4 linked regions of the Schizosaccharomyces pombe genome follow. The main gene of each other region encodes a partner of the protein of the gene in region 3 in a complex. Each region holds a gene or a part of one and is shown on either strand. Other genes may lie near its edges.

What was found.
Region 1: ask1 (region 3) and spc34 share a complex: the UniProt entries of both Schizosaccharomyces pombe proteins name them as parts of the DASH complex.
Region 2: ask1 (region 3) and dam1 share a complex: the UniProt entries of both Schizosaccharomyces pombe proteins name them as parts of the DASH complex.
Region 4: ask1 (region 3) and dad3 share a complex: the UniProt entries of both Schizosaccharomyces pombe proteins name them as parts of the DASH complex.

Annotation. Positions count from the first base shown.
Region 1 is NC_003424.3:3,670,283-3,676,887, forward strand, and holds spc34 (DASH complex subunit Spc34), read right to left. Parts: upstream 4,613-6,605; 5' UTR 4,513-4,612; coding exon 4,018-4,512; 3' UTR 3,417-4,017; downstream 1-3,416. Other genes in the region: translation initiation factor eIF2B epsilon subunit tif225, read right to left, coding at 1-814, 884-1,008, 1,052-1,113, 1,158-1,215; V-type ATPase inhibitor and disassembly protein in response to oxidative stress Oxr1, read right to left, coding at 2,251-2,817; ABC family Fe transporter Atm1, read left to right, coding at 5,244-6,605. UniProt on the Schizosaccharomyces pombe protein: Component of the DASH complex that connects microtubules with kinetochores and couples microtubule depolymerisation to chromosome movement; it is involved in retrieving kinetochores to the spindle poles before their re-orientation on the spindle in early mitosis and allows microtubule depolymerization to pull chromosomes apart and resist detachment during anaphase.
Region 2 is NC_003424.3:3,105,691-3,109,073, forward strand, and holds dam1 (DASH complex subunit Dam1), read right to left. Parts: upstream 1,152-3,383; coding exon 684-1,151; 3' UTR 501-683; downstream 1-500. Other genes in the region: WD repeat-containing protein Atg1801, read right to left, coding at 181-218; csr101 (sec14 family protein), read left to right, coding at 1,150-2,316; ubi5 (ubiquitin-40S ribosomal protein S31 fusion protein), read right to left, coding at 2,738-3,190. UniProt on the Schizosaccharomyces pombe protein: Component of the DASH complex that connects microtubules with kinetochores and couples microtubule depolymerisation to chromosome movement; it is involved in retrieving kinetochores to the spindle poles before their re-orientation on the spindle in early mitosis and allows microtubule depolymerization to pull chromosomes apart and resist detachment during anaphase.
Region 3 is NC_003423.3:1,560,222-1,566,963, forward strand, and holds ask1 (DASH complex subunit Ask1), read right to left. Parts: upstream 3,431-6,742; 5' UTR 3,344-3,430; coding exon 3,327-3,343; intron 3,272-3,326; coding exon 3,124-3,271; intron 3,046-3,123; coding exon 2,287-3,045; 3' UTR 2,105-2,286; downstream 1-2,104. Other genes in the region: app1 (actin cortical patch protein), read right to left, coding at 1-901; protein trafficking protein Pga2, read right to left, coding at 1,416-1,814; protein meu25, read left to right, coding at 3,681-5,549; septation protein Uds1, read left to right, coding at 6,182-6,742. UniProt on the Schizosaccharomyces pombe protein: Component of the DASH complex that connects microtubules with kinetochores and couples microtubule depolymerisation to chromosome movement; it is involved in retrieving kinetochores to the spindle poles before their re-orientation on the spindle in early mitosis and allows microtubule depolymerization to pull chromosomes apart and resist detachment during anaphase.
Region 4 is NC_003424.3:5,226,763-5,233,120, reverse strand, and holds dad3 (DASH complex subunit Dad3), read right to left. Parts: upstream 3,323-6,358; 5' UTR 3,296-3,322; coding exon 3,218-3,295; intron 3,181-3,217; coding exon 2,998-3,180; 3' UTR 2,221-2,997; downstream 1-2,220. Other genes in the region: mek1 (meiosis-specific serine/threonine protein kinase), read right to left, coding at 555-1,200, 1,250-1,784, 1,825-1,981; Smc5-6 complex SMC P-loop ATPase subunit Smc5, read left to right, coding at 3,368-3,420, 3,489-3,654, 3,704-6,358. UniProt on the Schizosaccharomyces pombe protein: Component of the DASH complex that connects microtubules with kinetochores and couples microtubule depolymerisation to chromosome movement; it is involved in retrieving kinetochores to the spindle poles before their re-orientation on the spindle in early mitosis and allows microtubule depolymerization to pull chromosomes apart and resist detachment during anaphase.

The sequences.
Region 1 (6,605 bases), on a different chromosome or scaffold from region 3:
ATTCCTACCAATGATAGTATTCGCAACCACAGACGCATCACCGACTTTGGTATAGGCACCGATCAAAGTTCGTGCCTTAATAATGCAAGAACGAGCAAGAACAACGTCTTCTTCCTTATAAATCTGATGTCTTTGATAACTAAAAGTTTGGTTAAGAAGATTGCTATCGGGAACAAAAGGATAGACCCATCGAGAAAGAACATCTTTGCTAATAGCATCATAAGTTTGAAGACTACGAACACGAGCTGCATAATTTTCTTTAGCAACATGGCAATGAATCTTTTTTCCTAAAAGATCAGAGGTTAAAACACCATATACGAAGTCTTTTCGAATGTCTTGGTAATCAAAGTTTTCAGTAAAAAGGGCAGGTACATCATTGGAGCAAATGTCAATTTGACAGTCAATCAAATCATTTCGAACCTCCAACTCTTCATGCTCATTAAAGATTTCGGGATCCATAGAAACATAATGTTTTCCCCTTTCGTTAGCTTGATAATGCACGCATTGGCTGGTCTTTTTATCTATCACGAAAACAGAACTCTCTGTACGGGCGCGTGTACGATGAAATGGACTTGCTTCTCGTACAACCATTGTCATAATAGCATTTTTATCATCTTCACGGCGCTTCCGATGTTCTTTCAAAACTTCGTTTAGAGGCACATTGGATACCACATCGCCTGATACGAGTATGAAATCGGAGGTAATTAGCTGTTTTGAATCGAGCTCTCTTAAAGCATCACCAACCGACAGAGATTCTCTTGACACAATCGTGTTTACACTAAAGGGGGAAGAGGGAAGATTCCACTTTGACTTTCTGTGGGTTATATTGTGTTAGTTATATCGTATCAGAAATTCGAATTTAAGACCTCAATTTAGCACATACTCTATATATTCTCGAATTTGTCCTGCATGGGCACAGCAAAATACATAAACTTCTTGCACCCCGGCCAATGCCAAAAACTCAAAAGTGTACTCTATTAAAGGGGTATTTGCTAAAGGAAGAAGACACTAATAATATTAGTACTTAAAGTGTACACTGGTAATTGCATACGCGAGGTTTATCTAATGTAAGAGGGCGAAACCGATAATTATAAGAATCCGACAAAACAATCGCTAAAAATTAGTAACAAACACTTTTTGAATCCCAAAAACATTACCTTGCAGAGCGTGTTTTGGCTTTTCTAGCTTGCCATTCAGCCCTTTGGATGGAGGCATTTCGACAATGTAGAGGGATTAGACATATTTCTCAATATCATTTAAGCCCAAACAGTCATTTAAGGATGCCGTGCTCCACTGCCTTATAACTTAAAGATTATTCTAAACAATTCATCAACTAGAGACTAAAAAGGAATTTATAAAGACGTTAATAATCAAAGAGTAATTAAATTTAGGATATTAAATTTGCATAGCTCATTTCTTTTATAGTTTATTGGCGAAAGAAAGTGGTTTTATTTAAGTAACCACAAAAATTCCACATAATAAACAGAAGATATAAACGGTGATTTATCCTGTTAAGTTGGTAAATTTTGTCAATTTGTTTTCTACAATTGGGTAGTGGTTGCAAACATTTTACTAATCTTATGGTAGTTTATCGAGATTTGAATACAGGTTTCAAGTGTTTACACGGTAATCAAAAAGAAACATAATAAATAAAACTTCATAATAATTATTATTACTGATATAAAGTGGATGGTAGAAATCGATTCGTCAATTAGGGACGATACGAATTGTTGATGAAAAGCAACCACGTGAATAAATATACTAAGTGTAGCATTAAAAGTTATGAATAGAAAAAGAGAAAATTAATAAATAATAGACAATTGGGGAGAAGATATTGGGGATGCTCTTCATTTGATTCGTTCACTCAATGCATAAGGCGTAAAGAAATTAATAGCAAGGATATTCATGCTTGATCAATTAACAAACGTAATCTTCCGGAATTGAGAAGAAGTATTAAAAATTAGCTGATGATAGAAAGCTATACATCACAAATGGGAGGGAAGAGTCCTACGGCTCGAATTTCTGGTAAACTCGATATTCATTGATTGAACATGCAAATCAACGAGTTAACTTGAATTAAGAATAATAATCAATGCATAGAGTCAGCATAAAATTGTCTTTGGTTGAATAAATTAGTCATAAAGAAAGCACGGTAAAATATTAATCTTGATATAAATATAAAACTTGGGCTGATGCACATTTCCGAGTCCATCTTTTATTTTCTTTTTTCTTTTCATTCGTTAGTTGATATTACTCCAATACCCAGAGCTCGATGTCCACGATTTGGATTCGTTGGTCAGGACAGCCACGATAGCTCAAAGGATTGTTTTCGAATGCAGGAGTACGACTAGAGTAAGCGTACTCTAGAGAGCCATCAAGCCAAAGGCTGTATCTTCCATTACCCCCACCAAATGCCAAAAAGCTTTTGGTGCAATATGCAACAAAATTGGAATTTCCTACGAAAGGGTAATGTACATACTTTTTGGGAGGAAAATATTTCCACAAGAAGGTTTCCTCGGAACCAAAGTAATGAGGTGCAGGAATTAAATAATCAGGGATAAAAACTCCAAAAACATCGCCGTCTGTATCGCGCACAGCTAAAATGCAAGCCCCTTTAGGATGGCCGCTTCGAGCTTTTTCCTTTTCGCAGGCTAAGTACATTGTTTGAAGAGATGCGCCGTCATGTTGCAACGAATAGATTCGTTTCCAAGTTTCAGCAGAAGCATATCTTGCTGGCAAGTTCTCAACGATGTGACTGGCCAATTCATCTGTTATTAAGCCGTCTTTAACACTATACTGTCTTGTAAAGTTAAACATTTCAATTGATACAAAATACTTGCTAAAATTTTGTACTCTTATGGTGTGTGTAGTTAGAAAGATTAAGGTGATCCACTAGCCTTATGTAATAAGTAAACAAATAAATAATTGTGAATACAATAACAAACACTGAAATAAACAACAGTAAGTGTATTCTTTAATTTTCCAAAGAAGAAGTTTTTCTTAATAAAGGTATTCTTATTGATCCTTTTTTATTGTTTTTTTTGAGAAATCGAGTAAATAATTTTTTTGGCGTAATGTGTGATTGTTAAGGTGGAGCAGCAGCCTTGGTATTAGCAATTAAAACATTCGTTCAAATTCTATCATTCAGTAACAACAAAAAATAATTATAGTTGACGAGTCAATAGAAACACTATGAACCTGACTTTTACTCTATATTAATAATCAAATATAGAATAAATACATAGTGTTCCATTACTTGCTATCATACTATGCTATTGAACTTTTATTTATATCTTAAATAAAATCTTTTAGAACTTTTAAGAACAAGTATGTACTTATGTTTGTATAAATATTAAGAACTCATTACAACAAATGAGTCCAATGCAAAAGCTGGCGTTGAGCCAGTAATCTAATTGCCGTCTTTAACTTATCATGAACATTATTGTATTTTTCACATACTATTCTATAAATGAGAATATTACAAAAACAATGAGTTATTATGCTCCTGAGTTGTAATGTACTTAGTTTGCTAATTATCTTCGTTCAATATCTTTGCCGCTTTAGAGAATTCCTGGAGCAAACAGTCCAAAGATTCTCTTCTCTTCTCTTTATGTTTTTCATATTCTAGGTATTCATAATCCTCTAGCTCTTTTGTAGCCTTCAAAGTAACAGTAGACGAACTTGCTTTTTTCTTAGCAAGCGACATTTCAATATGCTTTTTAAAGGATGATATATCAAAACATCGACTTCTTTTTTTCCTCTTCAGCTTCATCAGTTTGTATTGGGAGTAAGCCGATCGATCATCTGACGTCGAAGGATAACTGCAATCAGAAATATCTCGGGTGCTTCTTTGAGGATGTAACTTCAAAGGAATGAGTCCATGGTCTTTTATATCCTCGCTTAAATACATTTCTTGTTCTTTGCTCAAATCCATGATAAAACAACGACCTCGCTTCTCCTTTTCTAAATGTTCACCAATACGAAAAGTCGATCTGACTACCAACGCAAATAGCCTTCCTAAGATTGTATCAGTTGCTTCACTTTTTCAATTTCTCTTTCAAGTCTTTGGATTTCAGAAGTTTCACGCTGTAGAATATTCTCCCTAGCAGACACCTGATCGGTTTGTCGTTTTTCAAGTTGCTGCAATTGCTCTTTCTGTTCCAGTAAAACGTTTTCCAAATTCTCAATTCCTGACATATGTAAGTTGTATTTCTCAACCAGAGTCTCCAAATATTCACGGCCACCTTGCATAGGATATATATCTAGTAGTTCCTCAATACAAGCAACGTAGTCTGCAGGGTTTTCTGATGCCAACCTTTCACTCCAATCCTTCGGTAGAGATTTGAACTCAGCTGCAATTAGTTCTTCCTTCTGAGTATCGCGAATTAAATCAGTTATAGCATGAGTATGTAGCACCGCGTCTGTGAAACGTGCTGCGTTTGGGTTTTCCGGTTCCAAAAGTTTTTCTGATGTAGCAGCAATAGACTGTAAATAATTCAACAAATCAGACATTTATTTAATAAGTCATCAAAAACACTAATTCGACTCGTAATTAGTAAAAGGTATGTTTCAATTCACTTTACCAGAGTTGCCAAAAGTGTATGCAATCTCTGGGTGTGTGCAGGTGGTTTAACCAAAACGTAATAAACGTTTGGTATCTTTGATATAATGGAAATCACCTGTGCCTGTTTTTGAAATTCTGTTCTCGCTCAGCAAATTATTTTAACAAAGGTAAAGCATTGCGTTCATTCCTTGCTATTTTCCTTTATTTGCTACACCGAATCATTCTTACGTTTACGCTTTAGGCACACATTTCTTCAGCTCAGATTATCCATTAATAATTATATGTAAAACTTTTATAAAGGTTAATACACGCTAAAAATTTCGTAATCCTCAGTGCAGTTTTGATGAGTTTGCAATTGTTGGACTCTACTTCGCAATCGTGATCTAATCAAAATCTACAACTTTCTAAGTCTGCCAGATTTATAGAACTAAAGGTTTGAGAATTATCCTTCTCTTAGTTCTTTTATTCATATATACCATCTATTAAAAAGTTGCCTCTTTGGAGGCTATTTGAGGTTTTTCTGACTGAACGTTTCGTCTGTTTTTCATATTCTATCAGCCAAGTTTATTCTATTTAAATATAGATTTAAAAACTTTAATTATCTTAAATAGAAGAGCAGTATATTGGGTATAACTAACAGCTTGAAGCTCTGACATCTTAAAGTGTTGTATTAATAAAAATGCTAGAACGATGTCCCTGGAAATTAATCAGCTCGCCAAGAAATATTCCAGCTCGCTCTTTTCTTAATTCTCGTGGAACTTATCTTGTTTTAAGAAAGTCAAATATATTACCTCTTCAACATATACTGCGGTTTTCCAATTTTGCATCTAAGCAATGTTTCCCACTTAGAAATGGAAATAATTCGGCTTCAAAAGCGTTATGGAATAACAAATCAAAAGAAAAAGAGCCACTGAATACTTCTGTTAAACTTGCTTCCGATGTACCAGATGATAAAAATGTAACAGGACAAATGATTGTTAAGGACATGCTTCAATATATTTGGCCCAAGGGGAAGACTAATTTGAAAGTTAGAGTTGTTTCGGCTCTCGCACTACTTGTAGCTGCCAAAATTCTTAACGTCCAAGTTCCTTTTTACTTTAAATCAATTATCGATACCATGAATACAACACTTGTTCAAGAAGTAGGAGCATTGTGGTCTACTGTAGGAGCTGTTGTTCTCGGTTATGGCTTTGCTAGAATATTTTCTACCGTTTTTCAAGAGTTAAGGAATAGCGTTTTTGCAATTGTGTCGCAAAGCGCTATTCGAAGTGTTTCTAGCAATGTCTATCAACATCTGTTGAACCTTGACATGAATTTTCATCTCTCAAAGCAAACAGGAAGTATTACTAGAGCAATGGATCGTGGTACAAAAGGTATTAGTTTCATTCTTTCCTCCATGGTGTTACACATCATTCCTATTACCCTTGAAATTGCTATGGTGAGTGGTATTCTCACTTACAAGTACGGACCTTCGTTTTCGGCCATTGCTGCTACAACCGTTGCTCTTTATGCTCTTTTTACTGTTAGGACGACATCCTGGAGAACTGTATTCCGTCGTCAAGCAAATGCTGCTGACAGTAAAGCATCAGCCGCGGCAATTGAATCTCTGATTAATTATGAAGCCGTTAAAACTTTTAATAACGAATCATACGAAATGAGCAGATATGAAAAGCATCTTTCCGCCTACGAAAAAGCCAACGTTAAGGTAGCATCTTCTTTGGCCTTTTTGAATTCAGGACAGGCTATTATATTCTCTACCGCTCTTACTTTGATGATGTACATGGGTTGTCGTGGAATTGTAACTTCCAACCTTACTGTAGGTGACCTTGTCATGATTAACCAATTAGTATTTCAGTTGTCAATTCCTCTTAACTTCCTTGGATCTGTCTATCGCGAAATGAGACAGGCTTTTACTGATATGGAGCAATTGTTTTCTTTAAAGCGCATTAATATCCAAGTGAAGGAGGCGCCAGATGCTCGAGATTTGGTTCTTAAAGGCGGATCTATTCAATTCGATAACGTTCATTTTTCGTATAATCCA
Region 2 (3,383 bases), on a different chromosome or scaffold from region 3:
AAGTATTAGTGATGTTGATATCAAAAACAATAAAATAAGTACTTTGAATCCTGGTTAAATCCACAAAATAGTAAGCGAGACATATTCGATACCATTTTCAGCACAATTGGCCGATACGTATATTGTTCTAATGACTGGCTTGAGACAAGTGGAATGACCCGCGGCTATACACTTACATACGCTGCTTTGCCGCGGTACTTCCGAACAAAGAAATGCATTTTGAAGTAAAACGAAAACTAGTTGTATACTTGAAAACAAGTGTAATTGCTCCAATGTTTAAAATTACAAATATAGAATGTGAACAAATTTCGACACTTCAAATAGGTTCAATTAGTGTTACATATTTGAGGTATTGAAAGAGCCACTGAAGTTGTAAATGTGAGTATCGAAAATAGACTACAAATACATATTCATTTTATTGGAAATTGAAGATTGGAGAAGCTATTACATATGAGTTTACTGAACGCTTTCTAGAACTTTTAAAGCAATTGTCTACAGTTCACTTCGCTGAAGAAAAATGTGCATTAAAATGTTAAAAATTGTATATAAATCGTAAAATTGAATGATCATTATGATTCCGTTGTTTCATTATCCAACCTGATATGCTAGGTTATTCCCTTCGACTATTATAATAATAAATGAAAAAGAAAAAACTTCAACCAGTCTCCCTTGCTTAAATAAATTTATCTGGAAGCGGAATAGGTTTCTGGCCGTTCAATGAAAGAAGTGTCATTTGTAGCAAATGTTTCGTCTGCAGTTGCAAAATTGGGATCGTGAGAAATAACACCACCATCGTAGGGAGGGTCAGAAATCGAATGACCAGTACGAGTCATCAGCGTTGCCTTAAATTGGTCTTTCTTAGCTTGGAGTAAAAAACTTTCCGAAAGCGGTGCATTTTCATAATCTACGCAAAAAGCATTGATTTGCAATCCATAAAGAAAAGAAGAAAACGATTCGTTGAAATTGTCGAGTATTTGTTTGGTTGCTGACAGGTGATTCATTCGTTTACGAAATTCACTCACATTATCATCCAAAACAGCCAGTGACTTAGTAAAGGCTTGGAGATTCGAAGGGATTGCATTCTCACTTTCTATTTTCACATTATCAACATTTTCTAAAGGATTTTGAGTAGCTTTCTGGTATTTCTCCATGTTTTCGCGACTTTGGGTGAGATGTAGATGTTCTACAGCGCTTTCGGCAGCAGCAGCAGGAACATTTTTCTTCCGACGTTCTCAAAAACAGCCTGAGCCTGAGACTGTAGACGAAAAAGTGAGCTTTGAAAGTTATTCACCTTTAAAGTTGATGATTCAAAAGACATGGCCTAGGTTTCAAGAGCATAAAGAATATCGCGAATCGTTCATACGATTAGCAAAATGCGACTCACCCGACGCTATCTTAGTACGATTTTTGGCTTCTTGCAATAACGATTCACATGAAGCAAGTCAAAAGTTAATCAATACGCTACAATGGCGCGTAGATACAGGTGTTGAGCGTATCGTTGAGCGGGGTGAGCTTTATGCCAAAGAGACAAATGATGATCAGTTCTTGGAACAATTGAGAACTGGAAAGGTAACTATGTTGGGAAGGGACTTATCTGATCGCCCTATCTGCTATATTCAAGTCCATTTACATCAACCCTCAAAATTGACTCAGAATTCTCTTCGTGAGATGACCGTGTGGGTAATGGAAACTATGCGACTTTTTCTGCGACCACAAAAGACTTTGAAGGACTCTATGGACTCTCCTCAAAATGTGAATGTTCTGTTCGACCTTAGTAACTTTTCTCTACATAATATGGATTATTCTTTCGTTAAGTATTTGGCATCGTGTTTGGAGTATTATTACCCACAATCTCTTGGTGTTTGTATTCTTCATAAATCTCCTTGGATTTTCAGAAGTGTTTGGAACATTATTAAGGGATGGATTAAACCAGAGATTGCTGCGAAAATTGTTTTTACTCAGAGCGCAAACGACCTCGAAAAATACATAGACTATTCGGTAATTCCTACTTCTTTAGGAGGAGGCAACAAAAAGATATTCCAATACATAGAGCCAGTAGAGCATGAGAATGATGCAGTCATCGAAGATAGCGCTGAAAAGACTGCAGCACTTGCTCGCTATTATGCGTATTTCAGTGAATGGGAGCAGCACTCTTTAAATTGGGCCAAGCTAGATGATGATGATGCTCAAAATGAAAAAGTCCGCTTATGCTGCGATGCTGCAGGTACCAACTTTGCCAACTGCTATTGGAATGTTGACAAATATATACGAGCGAGAACCGTTTACGACCGACTGAAATGGATTGGTAATGTTTAAATTTACTCAATCTAAACGCTATGTTTTACGACTCAATTCTTTTTATTCTTTTATTAATAAAAGAATGCATCTTCCTATATTTACTACCTTTTACTAAAAACTTGAGTTTAGATCTAATGTCCTCGAAATACTCATGATTCCTCAATGGCGTTTTCAATAATCGCGTTTGCGCATATAAAAACTGTTGAAAATTCCACCAATCATTCAACCGTAGCTTGCTTGTTTAGTTTGGCTTATGTTTAGATTATTTATTTAAAAAAATCATCATGGGACTACTAGAAATATAATACAAATGAAATGTTTTCATAACCATTTACAATATAAGTATTTTCAATTCAATATAGCACATTACAATGAGCAATATAGATATATTACAAAATATCACTTAAAAAAGTGTTAATTTATTTTATCGCAAACTCATTTAAGCTTCCAATTTGAGGGTCAAGTGGCATCTACCACAGTAAAGGCGGTCCTTGTGGTTGGCCATGAAGGTGGATGCACCACAGTTAGGACACTCACGACGAAGACGCTTAACGCTTCCATCATCCTCAACCTTGTAGTACTTGAGGACGGCGAGCTCAACCTTCTTGTGCTTGTGCTTGATCTTCTTGGGAGTAGTGTAAGTCTTCTTTTTACGCTTCTTACCACCACCACGAAGACGCAAAACGAGGTGAAGAGTGGACTCCTTTTGGATGTTGTAATCAGACAAAGTACGTCCATCTTCTAACTGCTTACCAGCGAAAATAAGACGTTGTTGATCAGGAGGAATTCCTTCTTTGTCTTGGATTTTGCTCTTGACATTATCAATAGTGTCAGAGGACTCCACCTCAAGGGTAATCGTCTTACCCGTAAGGGTTTTGACGAAAATTTGCATTTTGGTTGTGCTTAGAAATGTTTTTCGAAATTCATATTTCTTTTGTTAAGTTGTGACTGCTTACTACTGCTGTACTTGGTAAGGTATGACTCTAAAATTTTAAGAATAAGAAGCCGAGCGAGAATTCAATATTCTAATTTAGCGGTCAAATTTTCAACTCGTTAAACCATAGGTGCACTAATTGAGCAATGAT
Region 3 (6,742 bases):
CAGTGTCATCAATGTCTGAAATAATGGAAATACCGTTTCGATCTAACACGGGTACTTCGCTCATATAAGCTTTGATCACTTTATCCTCCGAGGTAGATTGTAGAAGAACAGCTTCCACAGAAAACTTGTTATTTTTAGTGGTGTAAAACGGGATCACTTCATCTATAATAAAATATCCTTCAACATTCGTAGCAACGTTAAATTCAGCAACAACTTTCTGCTCAAAATTCTTATCAGTAGCATATATTTTTACCAAAACAAACTCATCTTTTAAGCCTCGTTGCAGAGACGCTAAAGAGCGCTCCTCAAAGTATTCCTCACATTTGGCCAAACCTATAGTAGAAATGTATTGAGAATTTACCGAAGGAGTCATAATTCGATTAAAAAATCCTGATATTCCATACCCCGATTGATACCAACTCCTTGAGGCAGACAATGAAGGGTTAGGTACATTCACGCCATTTCCCTGTAAGTCGTCGGGAGTCGTATGCAGGGACAAAGGTGGATCATTCTCAGTTTTAGAGGTTGATGATAATTCAATATCATTAGGCTTTCCATCATTCACGTTCACGTTCAATTGAGCTTTCGTGTCTACTACAACCTGCAAATTTGTGTTTTCGTCATCCTTTTCAGGATATGTTCCCGTTTCTTTGGATTTTGGAGGCAGACCGACATATCTACGAAGTAAATTCAACATTAAACGATCTTTACGACCAAGATTATTGAGATCAGGGTTCTCGTAAACCCAACCGCGAACATGAACTGATATGTGCTTGGGTTCACTACCGTACTCTTTACCAGTACTAATGAAACATTGAGGATAAATGGTTATTGAAGTCAAATCATTGATAGTAGGGCTCTCTTCAGAGCCCCTAAACAAACGTCCAAATGATCGAAACATGGACGGTAAGAGCCCACCCCGAAACGTAACATGTCAAGCTCAAAATAAGCAAATTTGAACCCATATGCATGCGTTAATAGCGTTTATCGTAATATTACCGCAAATACTTAAATTTTGTTAGAGCATTTAAGGATTATTTAGAATACGTAATATTTCAACTCAAAATACTGGAATGAGTGGGAAAGAAAAATAAATTGATCTAAACGCTGAAATTAAACCTAACAGGGGATTGATTAAAGCTTGGCTCACGAAAAGATATTATGACTTAAAAATGCAAGAAAAAGGAGAAACAATCAAAGGACTTTCGTTGATCTCGTAGGAAAAGAATGCACTCTCAAATTGCATTATTAATCCTACATTCAATTAATTAGCTTTTGCTTTCATCCATGCAGTCACGGTTTCAAGAGAAAAGGATATCAAATTTTCACAAAGAAATTAAAACAATGATTAACAAACTAAATGACACAAGTTTTCTAAAGTGCTTGGAGTAATGAATATTATCTCACAACTAGAATTAATCCTCAAGGTGCTCTTCGATGTCTTCATCATCATCAGCGTAAGCATCAAGAGGAGATTTGTCTTGATTCTTAAAGTATTCTTCACGTTGTTTGCGAATACGGCGGCGTGCTGAATAACCCCAACGGAATTCGGCATCAGGATTTTCTTCTTCTTCCTCATCATCCGTGTCAAATTCTCCATGTTCTTTGGGCTTCGTGCCATGCGTCATTTCCGGATCTAAAGTACCATCTACTTCGCCTTCTAATAAAGATTTTCTATGTTCTCTCTCCTGTATCTTGGCTCCCAACTTCATCAAATATGGCCGGATTAACATATATCCTCCAACATATACGATAATTCGAATCCAGTCCTTCAATGAATATGATTGTAAATAGCCTGCAACGTCAAACCCCATTTTCCTTGCACAAAAAAGAGTGGTGGATACTAAGTTCACCTGTCTGCTCAACCAGGCAAACTATTATTAACCAAGTCACTAAAATTCTTTAGACTTTTTTAGAATTTTTAAAACCTCGTTATTCGTCTTAACGTATATTCTCAATGATATGCTGTAAAAAGATTTATTAATTAGGCTATAATACTAATTTATTTAAAAATTTTATAGTTATTTGCTTTCTTAGTTTATTTTAAAATTATTTTCATACAAATTTTACTTGGTTTACAGTATTTATACCGTGACTTATGATTCTCTTAAAAGAAGAATTTTCCAAATTAAATAGAACGTACAGTAAATAAAAAATTATATAACATAAATATAAGGTGGGATTTTATGAAGTAGACATATGTGCTTAGAAAATAAATAGAAAAAATGCGAAAGTAAGGTTCACTACTAAAGGCGAAACGAAGGTGATAACTTCAGCAGTGCTTTATCAGAGTTCCCAACTATCTTCTTCTTTGACAAAACTATCATTAGAATCATTCAAGGTTTCTAATTTCCTCTGCAAAGACAGGCTTCGCTCGTTGGCTTGCTGAGAAGAACCCACCCCCATGGTATGCGGGCTGAATTGGATAGTTTTAGGTGGAGACATTCCACTTGGGTTAATGCTATCATAGCTTTCATGCTCAAATTCTGCAAATAAAGAAAGAGCATGCGAAGAGTTTCTATCGTTAAGTGAAGGCATGTCCATTTTCATTGATATGGGAGAAGGCGATACAAAAGGAGAAGAATCAATATCCATTACTTCTTGAGATTGCAAATTCTTAGGCTCACGTGGAGTCACTTGTACTTGCCAATTTGTATCTAAAACGCGATGCAGAAGGGCACTACGACCTGTATGAGGATTATTTTCTGGTTTTCTTAGCGGAGTCTGCATCCTTGCCGGGATGGGGGTCAAAGCTGCATCATCTAACGAAATATCCTCTAAGGAGACATCCATCTTCTTAGGAGTGGACTGTACAAAATCCTCGTTTTTTGTATTATCTCCTTGTACAGCTGCATCGGGAAAATCAGATTTTCCGACAAAAGAATGCCTCTTTTCCAAATGTTCATTCTTTGTGTGCAGCTGTAGGTCCGCCTCTGTAGAATTAGACATAACATCTTGATCGCTTGGATTGGATTCTACTGGAACAGGTTCCTCTACACCCGAAAGTGAAACATTGGCACTTGCTTCAAAAAACTGCTTCCAAAACTGTTTTCTGTTAGCTTAATTCTTAAAATAATACAAATTACAAGCTGAATCATGAGTGGCAGTTGCCATTGAACATACTTTTGAAGAGTCCCATATAGTGTTACAATTTTTTGCGTATTTTTCCACGATAGGCAAGATTTTGGTAGTCACTGTTCGATGACATTTAGAAAAATTTGCATCAATTTCGTAAAGTGCTAGAGTAATCGATTGTTCCAATCGTTCTAATCTAATTCTTTTGTTAGAGAATGTTTATCTACAGTCGCGACAAGTTTACTGCATACTGTTCCAAATTGTTCATAAGAATGACATCTAATACTCATAAAAACTTTGAAAATATTATTTCTTAGTATAGAAACTCTCAATGGTGAAATTTATGGCGAACTGCAACTGAGGTGTAGGTATACTAGCGTCCATTATTAGCGATGTTTCGTAAAGTAAACAAGTTAAATTGGCAATATACAGTGAGATTTTTGTAAGTTCAAGATAATACTAATACAATCATTGTTGAGTAATAAATATGAATTTTAAAGTTTTGTTTACTTTCCTCAGTGGACTAAATGCAGACTGCAATGATCAAATGATCCATAGTAAACAAACATTCAACTTGTCTTTTGCCAGCATCCTCAAGATCCAAAATGAGTAGTATCTTTGGAGAGAATATTGTTTCAGATAGTATAGTAAATATGGAGTTGACGAACCCTGATAATACTACGACTATGCATCCCATCTATGAAACTAACATTGAAAAGGAAGTCCAGCAGGAGTTTTCTGACAATGTCTCTGAAAAAGAAACGATTGACTCAACTAAAAGCAAAATATCTTTAGAAAATATACAGCAAGAAATGGGAGCACTTGCCAAGAAAATTTTTCATAAATTAGGGGTTAAAGCAACCGACTTGGGATTTTCTAATGAGCATGATGACTCGCAGGATTCATTACAGACACTAGCGCCTTCTCCATCATATGTTCCACTTTTGAAGGTTATTGGAAGCTCTGAGGAGGTCAATAGCAACTTGGTATTAACCGACTTGGAAACAAATACTGATGGATATGATCCTAAATTTTTGATTTCTGTTAGGAAGTTTTTGATGGGATCTCCCAACTCTGGCTTTGTCGTTAAACATGAGAAACGTCTTCCAGATGGACCGCGTGTTCTGGCCCTTCGAGCCATTTCATCAGTCGATGAAGAAAATAGAAAAGAGCGCCTATCTCCTGATAGTGATCCTGTTGAAACAGAATCTGTTTATGTTGACAATGGAGAATTGTCAAATCAAAAAGTAGAAACAGTTGAAATTTCCGAAAAAGAACAAAATGATGATCCCGCCGGATATTCTCAATACCTTCTAGAGTTCAAGAAGAGTAAATGTCAAAAGAAAGTGCCGACTTTAGAGAGTATTGAGGAAAATGAAGGAACGGAACCTCATGACAACTTGACCTTTATGACTGATTTGGGAACTCCATACTATTCTCTGGGTAATGAATTTGAAAGAAAGCAAATTTTGGATGAATACGGGTTGCTGGCTAATGATGAAAACCTAGTTATTGGACACACGTTAAGAGCGGAGTATTGCTTTATGTTTGATGAAAGCGATATCCTGCAATTACGCAATTATGAACATACAGAAAAGGAACTTAGTGTCCTTCAATTTAAAGGGGTCTCGTCACGTTGGGATTTTCGTTGCTGTAGAGAAGAACGTTTACTCCGATTGCTACTATGTTTCGACAGTGAACATACTGGGCAATCTTTCATTCAACTGAACGATCCTGAAAATGAAAATGAAAAGGAAGAACAAAATTCCATTAGCATTAGGGAATTATCCTACTTCAGCACAAAACTTATTTCATTGATCTTACCCAAAGAAGCACATAAGCAGCGGTATATCATGCTAAGCTCCTTAGCAAAGACAAGGGAAGCTGATTTCTTTTGGTCTGAAGAGGAAAAAACTAATTATACAAACGAGCTTCTCAGCAACCCATGCAAATTCCTTTGTGAACTAGATCATTTCGATTCATTTCCTCATCAACAACAAGATCTACTCTGGAAGTACTTAGCGGAGTTTTCTGCTAGTTTAGAGTTAGACCCCAACCTTGCCCTTTGGAAGAAGCAAGTTATTTTTTCAAAAATCGGTCATCCGAAGTTGCTGGTTATGCCAATATCTAGTTTCCACTGCGTACAACGTTTCCCTGACCTTGTTTGCGTTCAAACTTCAACTGCTGAAACGTTTTTGTCTGTGGATCGTGAATTAACAACTTATGACCTAAACACTATTAAGTTGTTAAACACAGCACCTAGTCGTACAGCTCAAAACTGGCTTTTTATCATGCATCACCTAGAAATTGTAGGCTATTTATTTCCACATTTGGTTCATCTCGATAAACAGTATAGTTTATTAGATTATGCAAAGTCTGTTGAGCACATTCCAGAATTGGGCACTGTACAACGAAAAGGGTTTTTGAACAAAGTCGCATTTGATGATAACGAGGCTTTACTTTACCAAGTTTAAACGTACTGTCACATAATTTTCTATCACATGTTATCGACCATTCAGTGTTGAGGTTCCTAGGAATCTCTTCTAGGATGGTAGTGTACCTTTTAAGCGAAATTTTGTTTCATCTGCACATTCATTATTTACAAACCTATACGAACTTGACAAAAGTTTTTACGAATATACTAAATATTGACTTATTAATACTTGAAAATATTATCACTTTTTTTGAGGTGGTCTAAGTAAAAATGTGTAGGTCGAATTCGTCACATAGGGTAATAAATGTAAGTGTAGGACCGTTAAAGTATGCTCTAAATAATCTTTTAACATATAAAAAGTAATGTGGATTATTTGCAAACACCATAATGAATGTTGATCAAAATACCGGTTCAACGTCGATAAATAACAAACAGCAGAGCCCACCGATACACAAACCTAAAATTGCAAAGGGACTTTAATAGTCGTATAATCTGGAGAATGAAATGCTTAGCGACCGATCATTGCAACGTGATAATAGGTTGGCTTAGGTGCTTTGTTTATTTACATTTCAATGTTAGTTGTCATGGAAACGAAATTCATACAAAATAAAGCGTATGCGGCTGTAAACAAACAAAAGATTCAACATTTACATTTACCCATTTTACCCAAAAATGGGGTTTCATGGATGTTTAAGTACAGATGAATATGAACCTGAGTTAATTGAGAAATATGGGAATCCTGAACCACCTTCTTCAAGCATATTAATTAATACACGACCAGTCAATCCATTTTTATCCACTTTCGTGTATGTAGGAAAGGCTAGCAGTTCTGAAGATGTGTCTATATCTACAGGTGAGGAGGAAATGCGAACCCTTTTAGTTGCGTCTGCTGTTAAAGATGCAAAAGGTTGGGTGTACCTTTCCGGAAAAGACGTTGAAGAAATAAAACAGAAAATAAAAAACCTGCAGGGATTACTTGGTGTTTCTATAAAAAAACTGGCTGTCGAAGCCAAAATTAGAGAAGCTGCTAAGAATTTGATGGTTGCCCAAGCTAAGGAGAAAAAAGGAAAACATAAACAAAGTACGATAGAGCATTACGAACAATGTTCTCGTAGAGTTAGAGAACTTTCTTCTAAGATATGGCTTATTGAAAGGAAACTTGCAGAATTTTATATGCACCTATTGAAGCATATGGTTGCTGTGTGCATTGCTGAGCTTAAACCAGGTAGCTGT
Region 4 (6,358 bases), on a different chromosome or scaffold from region 3:
AATTTCATGATCCGGATAACTTTAAGTACAGCAAATCTTCTACAGCTTCTTTTATTTAATTTCACAGTATTTTAAAAGCCATTTAATACATAAAAAACCTAATATAAGGCTACATTATACACAAGGTCAATAATCTCCTTTAGTATAGGGGTAGTACACAAGCCTGTCACGCTTGCAGCCCGGGTTCGAATCCCGGAGGGAGAGGATTATCTTTTTATAAAGTTTTTTTAAGCTATTAAAAAAAAAAGGATGCTTATATCTATAAAATACCAAATTTACGCTGATTGAGACTAAAAATTGTTTTTTTTTAAGGTAGGGAAAATGGCTGACAAATTGATGGTCACTCATATCTTAAGTAATAAAATTTCTTTATATTAATTGCGTAAGTTGGATTGCCTGATTAATTCTAAAGATTAAATGTGTTCATATTTTATAGTTTATAGCTAAAAATAACTTAATTAAGTAATGTTAGAATTACATAGTTCAGACACATAGCTTTTATGTGGAGAAACTTCGATCGTTTTATCAAGTTTATCGAATATTTTCTTACGTGGCTATAGCCGGGAATGTTTAAGAGGTTTGAGAATACGAGTTTCATATAATTTGGTGAGACGACTACTATGTCGCGCGAACCAGGGATGGGAAAGACATTGTTTGACTGTGAACCGATCTGGGGGATTCGTTTTTAAAAGATTTGATATCAGATCTTTGGCTTGCCTGGAGACGGATTTCCAAACAGGATCTCGAAAATCCACTTGTTTTTCTTTCACTCCATCTGCAAATGATGGTGAATTACCTGACAACAGCAAAAACATAATTACTCCAAGGCTCCATAAATCGACCTCTTTACCGTAACCAGAAGAATTTTCCTTTTCCACTTGAGACCTTCCTTTTAATCTTTGGATTTCCGGGGCGGTATATTCCGGAGTGCCTACGAAAGTCGAAAGTCTTTTTCCCTTCTGCATACATCTTGCAACACCAAAATCGGTTAAAATGATTCTAAAAATGGTATCAGAGGACGACGCAATGAGAATATTTTCAAGTTTTAAATCCCTGTGAATTATATTCTGCTCATGTAAATATTTTAGCCCTTGTAGAATTTGAAACATAATAAATAAAGTGGTAACTTCAGGAACCGTTCCCAATTTCGTTAAATAACTGAACAAATCTCCTCCCGTCACCATTTCCTCAAATATAAAACTAAGGAATATTAATCATCAAAATAACAAACCGCATTCAATCTACTTACAACTGAGTTTCCGAATTATACTCCATGTTTACTTTGATAATGTTAGGATGATCAAGTTTCCTAAGAATTGTCATCTCGTGGTCCTCGAAAAACCGTTTCGTTGAGATTTTTTTCTTGTCGATGATTTTACACGCGTATTGTCCCCCAGTGTTATTATCCATTGCCATGTAAATGCGCGAGAAGCCACCAATTCCCAATAGTCTTTGAGTGATGTTAAATCTCTCACCCGCATACTCGTGATGAAAATCATTATCAGTAGTGTATTTCTGCTGGAAAAGAAAGGAAGCGCAGTGCCGAACATCGAGTATATCTCCATCCGATAAAAGGACGCTATTGCCTTTACCAATTAAACGATGATTTAAGAATGTTCCATTAGAGCTCTGATCTTCACAATAAACAAGGGGATCCATATCATCATCGATTAGCACCGAATACACTCTAAAGTGCTTATAACTGGCAGTGAATTGCAGAAGCTGATAATTGCATGTATTACTCCTTCCAACAGAAACGTCTTCATATTTCTTAACATTCAGTACTAATATATGTCAAAAATCAATTGAAACAAGAGAACACACCTGTTTGTGGAGAAGATGATGAAAAAACAAACAATCGAGCGAGAACATCATCTTCAGTATATTGAGGATCCATAGTACTTTCGTCTATTTGACTCAATTCACAAAGAATTTGCGTTGATTCAGATCGACTAAGCATGGCATGTGATAAAAAGTCCATAGTTCTTGCTTTTTTTTATATACACTTTGCAAAACGGTGATGCGCGTAAGCAATAAATATATATATACTTTGTAAGACGCGCCTATCAAAACGTAAAAGCAGTGTCTATAACGGTATAAAGACAATACCCATTATTATTACGTTATACCACTATAAACCAAAGTCATTTGGTAATGCCAAAACATACACTTGCCAATATTTTGAAGGATTGGGCTTGACACTATTAAGTATATTAATAAAATATGAACCTCATTGCTTATCAAATATAGTAAATTATGAGAATCCATATTAGTACAAACAGAAGAAACTTTGGATTTCAATCTCGAAGAGAGTTGCTGGCATTTAAATGATTTTTAGTCAAATGCAAGCAGAAGAAAATTTCTCGCTGTATTCACTTTAATGATCCGAGGACAAAAACGAGTCCCAATTGTAAGTTGCTCTTCATAACGAAGAAATTTGAGTATGAATAACCATTACGGTTAGAAAAAAACAAGGAAGGAAACTTATTATTTGATTAAGAAATCAACAGCTTACAACATTGCAGATTCTCATGCAACCCCATTTTCATAACGCTTTTAGGAAAGCTTGAAAACACTTTCGAATCCAGCATGATCTAATAAAATGTTAACAGGCAATTAATCGGAAGATTCATTAGGTCAGTGTTTCCGGGGTAATAGTTTAGAAATATTTAAGGCCGGACTACTTCCAAAGGGTTGTTTTGGATAATTGATTAAAAGTGATCTAACCAACTTTTTAAAAACAATACCCATATTCGTTTCTTGGACATTTTAGCCGAAAAGTGCTTTTTAAAAACCTTCATAAGCTTATATCTTGTGCCTGTTTTTACTCTTCCAAGTAGGATGTATTTTTTTCTCTGTAAAAGTGATTGAAAAATTATCCGGTAAATATTCAGTTCCAAATATTCATAGTAAACCACACGAAAAGCACCAACAGTAGAGTTAAAGCTTAATTTATAGTTCGGTTTGACGTATTTTCAATTTCAAACAAGCACGTTATCAACTTTCATCTTGAAACATGCCGCTTTTACCTTCTTGGTTATTTTCTAGGTCTGCCAAAATCGCCCAAACACTAGCTTTGTAAAGAGTATATACAAGTCCAACCTCCTTTTCTAAATCCCTTAGCGAGTCCAGAATATTGTTGCTGGGATTATAAACCATGTCCTGTAACACCTTAACAAGCTAAATATTAACCAACTGCTGAATAAAAAAGACTTACTGTTTCTAAATTTGATGCAAGATTAGCATATTCAGCTAAAATTTGATTCTGGAGAGCTCTTTTTTCCTCTAAACTCATTGTACCTTGCCTTGCATAAGCACTTTGCTCTCAGCAAACTCCTAGTTGACTGAAATCCTCCTTACTTCCACCATGGATGGCCTTAGGCCTTCGAAACGAAGAAAAAGTAATCCTTTGTATTCAGAGTAAGTTATAGCTTTTTTCTATTTAGTATTTCTGCTTTTTATACTTCGATGATCTTAACACGCGAGAGTTACGCGTTAGGAAGTATTGTACGAATTAAATTAGTGAACTTTGTTACATACGATTATTGTGAACTGTTCCCTGGTCCATATCTAAATTTGATTATCGGTCCAAATGGGACAGGTAAGAGCACAATTGTTTCAGCAATATGCATTGGGCTGGGATGGCCCCCAAAAGTAAGTCTTTCAATATTATAAAAAATAACTTAATTGATTAACGATTTAGCTACTTGGGAGAGCTAAAGAGGCCCGTGAATTTATAAAGTATGGCAAAAACACTGCAACCATAGAAATTGAAATGAAGTATCGTGACGATGAAACGGTTACTATCACGAGACAAATAAGCCAGGATAAGAGTAGTTCTTTCTCTATTAATAGGGAAGCATGTGCCACTTCTTCAATAACGTCTCTAATGGATACTTTCAATGTACAATTGAATAATCTTTGTCATTTTTTACCACAAGACCGTGTTGCAGAATTCGCTCAGCTTGATCCTTATTCTAGACTGATGGAAACTGAGCGTGCAATTGACCATGAAGGGTTACTTCCCGCACATGAGAAGCTTATTGATTTACGAAAACGAGAAAGGGAAATTTTACAAAATAAAAACCAAGGACAATCAACATTAAATTCATTAAAAGATAGACAACAGGCACTAGAGAAGGAAGTCAATATATTTAAAGAACGGGAAAAAATCAAATCATACATCGAAATGCTAGGGTTAGCTAAAATGTTAGTTATATACAGAGAGAAAACCAATGTCTTTAACCAACTTCGTGCAGACAAAAAAAAATTAAAAAAGGATTTGAAAGACCTAGTGGAAGAATTTCAACCTATTTTGGATAAAGGTGAAGAGCTGCGTTCGGATTTAAAACTAAAAGATGATACATTTAACGATTACTCCTCCGCTTCGATGGAACTTAATACCTCAAATTTAAGAGCCAGAGCTTCTTTTTCGAATTTCATGGAGAACGAGAAAAAGCTTTATGAGAAGGTTAATACCAATCGAACACTTTTACGGAATGCAAATCTTACATTAAATGAAGCACAACAATCGGTGAAGTCATTAACAGAAAGACAAGGCCCAAGACCTTCGGATAACGGTGTTCAAGATCTACAAGAAAAGATGCAAGAAGTTAATGCGGAAAAACTTCAACATGAAAACGAGAAACTTGAGAGCTCTCATGAACTAGGTAGTATCAGAACATTGAAAGCACAAAAGCTTATTGACCTTGATAACATTAAAAGAGAGTTGTCCTACTACAACGATGCTACGAAAAGGAAACTAGACTTTATGTCTTCTGCTCCAGGCTGGGAAGATGCTTATCAGACGTATCAGTTATTGAAGGAATACGAATCTGCGTTTGAAGCACCCGCATACGGCCCAATTTATATGAATTTGAAATGTAAGGAAAAAGGGTTTGCAGCTTTGATAGAAGGGTTTTTTCGCACGGATACGTTTCGAACATTTATAATGTCAAATTATAATGATTATCTAAAGTTAATGGATCTTATCACTTCAAAAACTAAGTACACTCCTACTATAAGAGAATTCTCCAGTGAACGAAAAAAGAAGATAGAAGATTTTGAACCTCCATGCTCTCGTGAGAAGCTTCAGTCTTTCGGGTTTGACGGATATGTGATCGATTTTTTAGAGGGGCCAGAAGTGGTTTTGGTTGCTTTGTGCCATATGTTAAAAATTCATCAAATTCCGATTGCAAAAAGGGAACTACCTCCCGCATCAGTGAATGCGTTAAACAATTTTCGTCTGGCTAACGGGGATCCAGTTCTTAAAACTTACTTGGCGGGCTCATCTATCCACTTGGTTTTTCGTTCAGCTTACGGTGATAGAGAAATTACTAGGCGAACAGACCCATTACCTTCTCGCAGTATATATTTTTCCGAGAACGTTGAGATGGATTTGGTAAAGCGAAAGGAGGAGCAACTAAATGCTCAACTCTCTCAATTGGAAAATTTACAGAATGAGGAAAGAAAGTTACAAGAAAAGGTAAATGAGCACGAATCGCTGCTTTCTCGTACAAACGATATATTATCTACTCTACGAAAAGAGCGTGACGAAAAATTAATTCCTATTCACGAATGGCAACAATTACAAGAAAGAATAGAACACCAAACTCTTCTACTAAGACAAAGAGAGAAAGTTCCTGAGCAATTTGCAGCTGAAATTGAAAAAAATGAAGATATCAGGAAAGAGAACTTCGAAGCTCTTATGAATTCGGTGTTAAAAGTTAAGGAGAATTCAATTAAAGCTACGAATAATTTCGAGAAGATGTTGGGAAGTAGACTTAATGTCATAGAAGCGAAATACAAACTTGAAAAACACGAGATGGATGCCAACCAAGTCAACGCTCGATTGACAGAAGTACAAGATCGTCTTAAAGATATTACCGATAAGTTAGCCTCAGCAAGGGAGGATGCTATGTCCTTGTACGGTTCAGTGGTTGATTCATTGCAGACACAATCATCTGACAGACAAACGGCAATAACTGAATTAAATGAAGAATTTGCTACTAGTTCGGAAGTGGATAACAAAATTAGCATCGAAGAAACGAAACTGAAGTTTATGAATGTTAATAGTTACGTTATGGAACAATATGATGCGCGTAAAAAAGAAATTGAGGAACTAGAATCGAAAATGTCAGACTTTGATCAATCCGTTGAAGAGCTCCAAGACGAGATGAACTCAATCAAAGAGGATTGGGTTAGTAAGTTAGAGGAGAATGTTCAATGTATTAGCGATAGATTTTCTAAAGGAATGAGTGGAATGGGATATGCTGGAGAAGTTCGACTAGGGAAATCCGACGATTATGATAAATGGTATATCGATATTTTAGTACAATTTCGAGAGGAAGAAGGACTT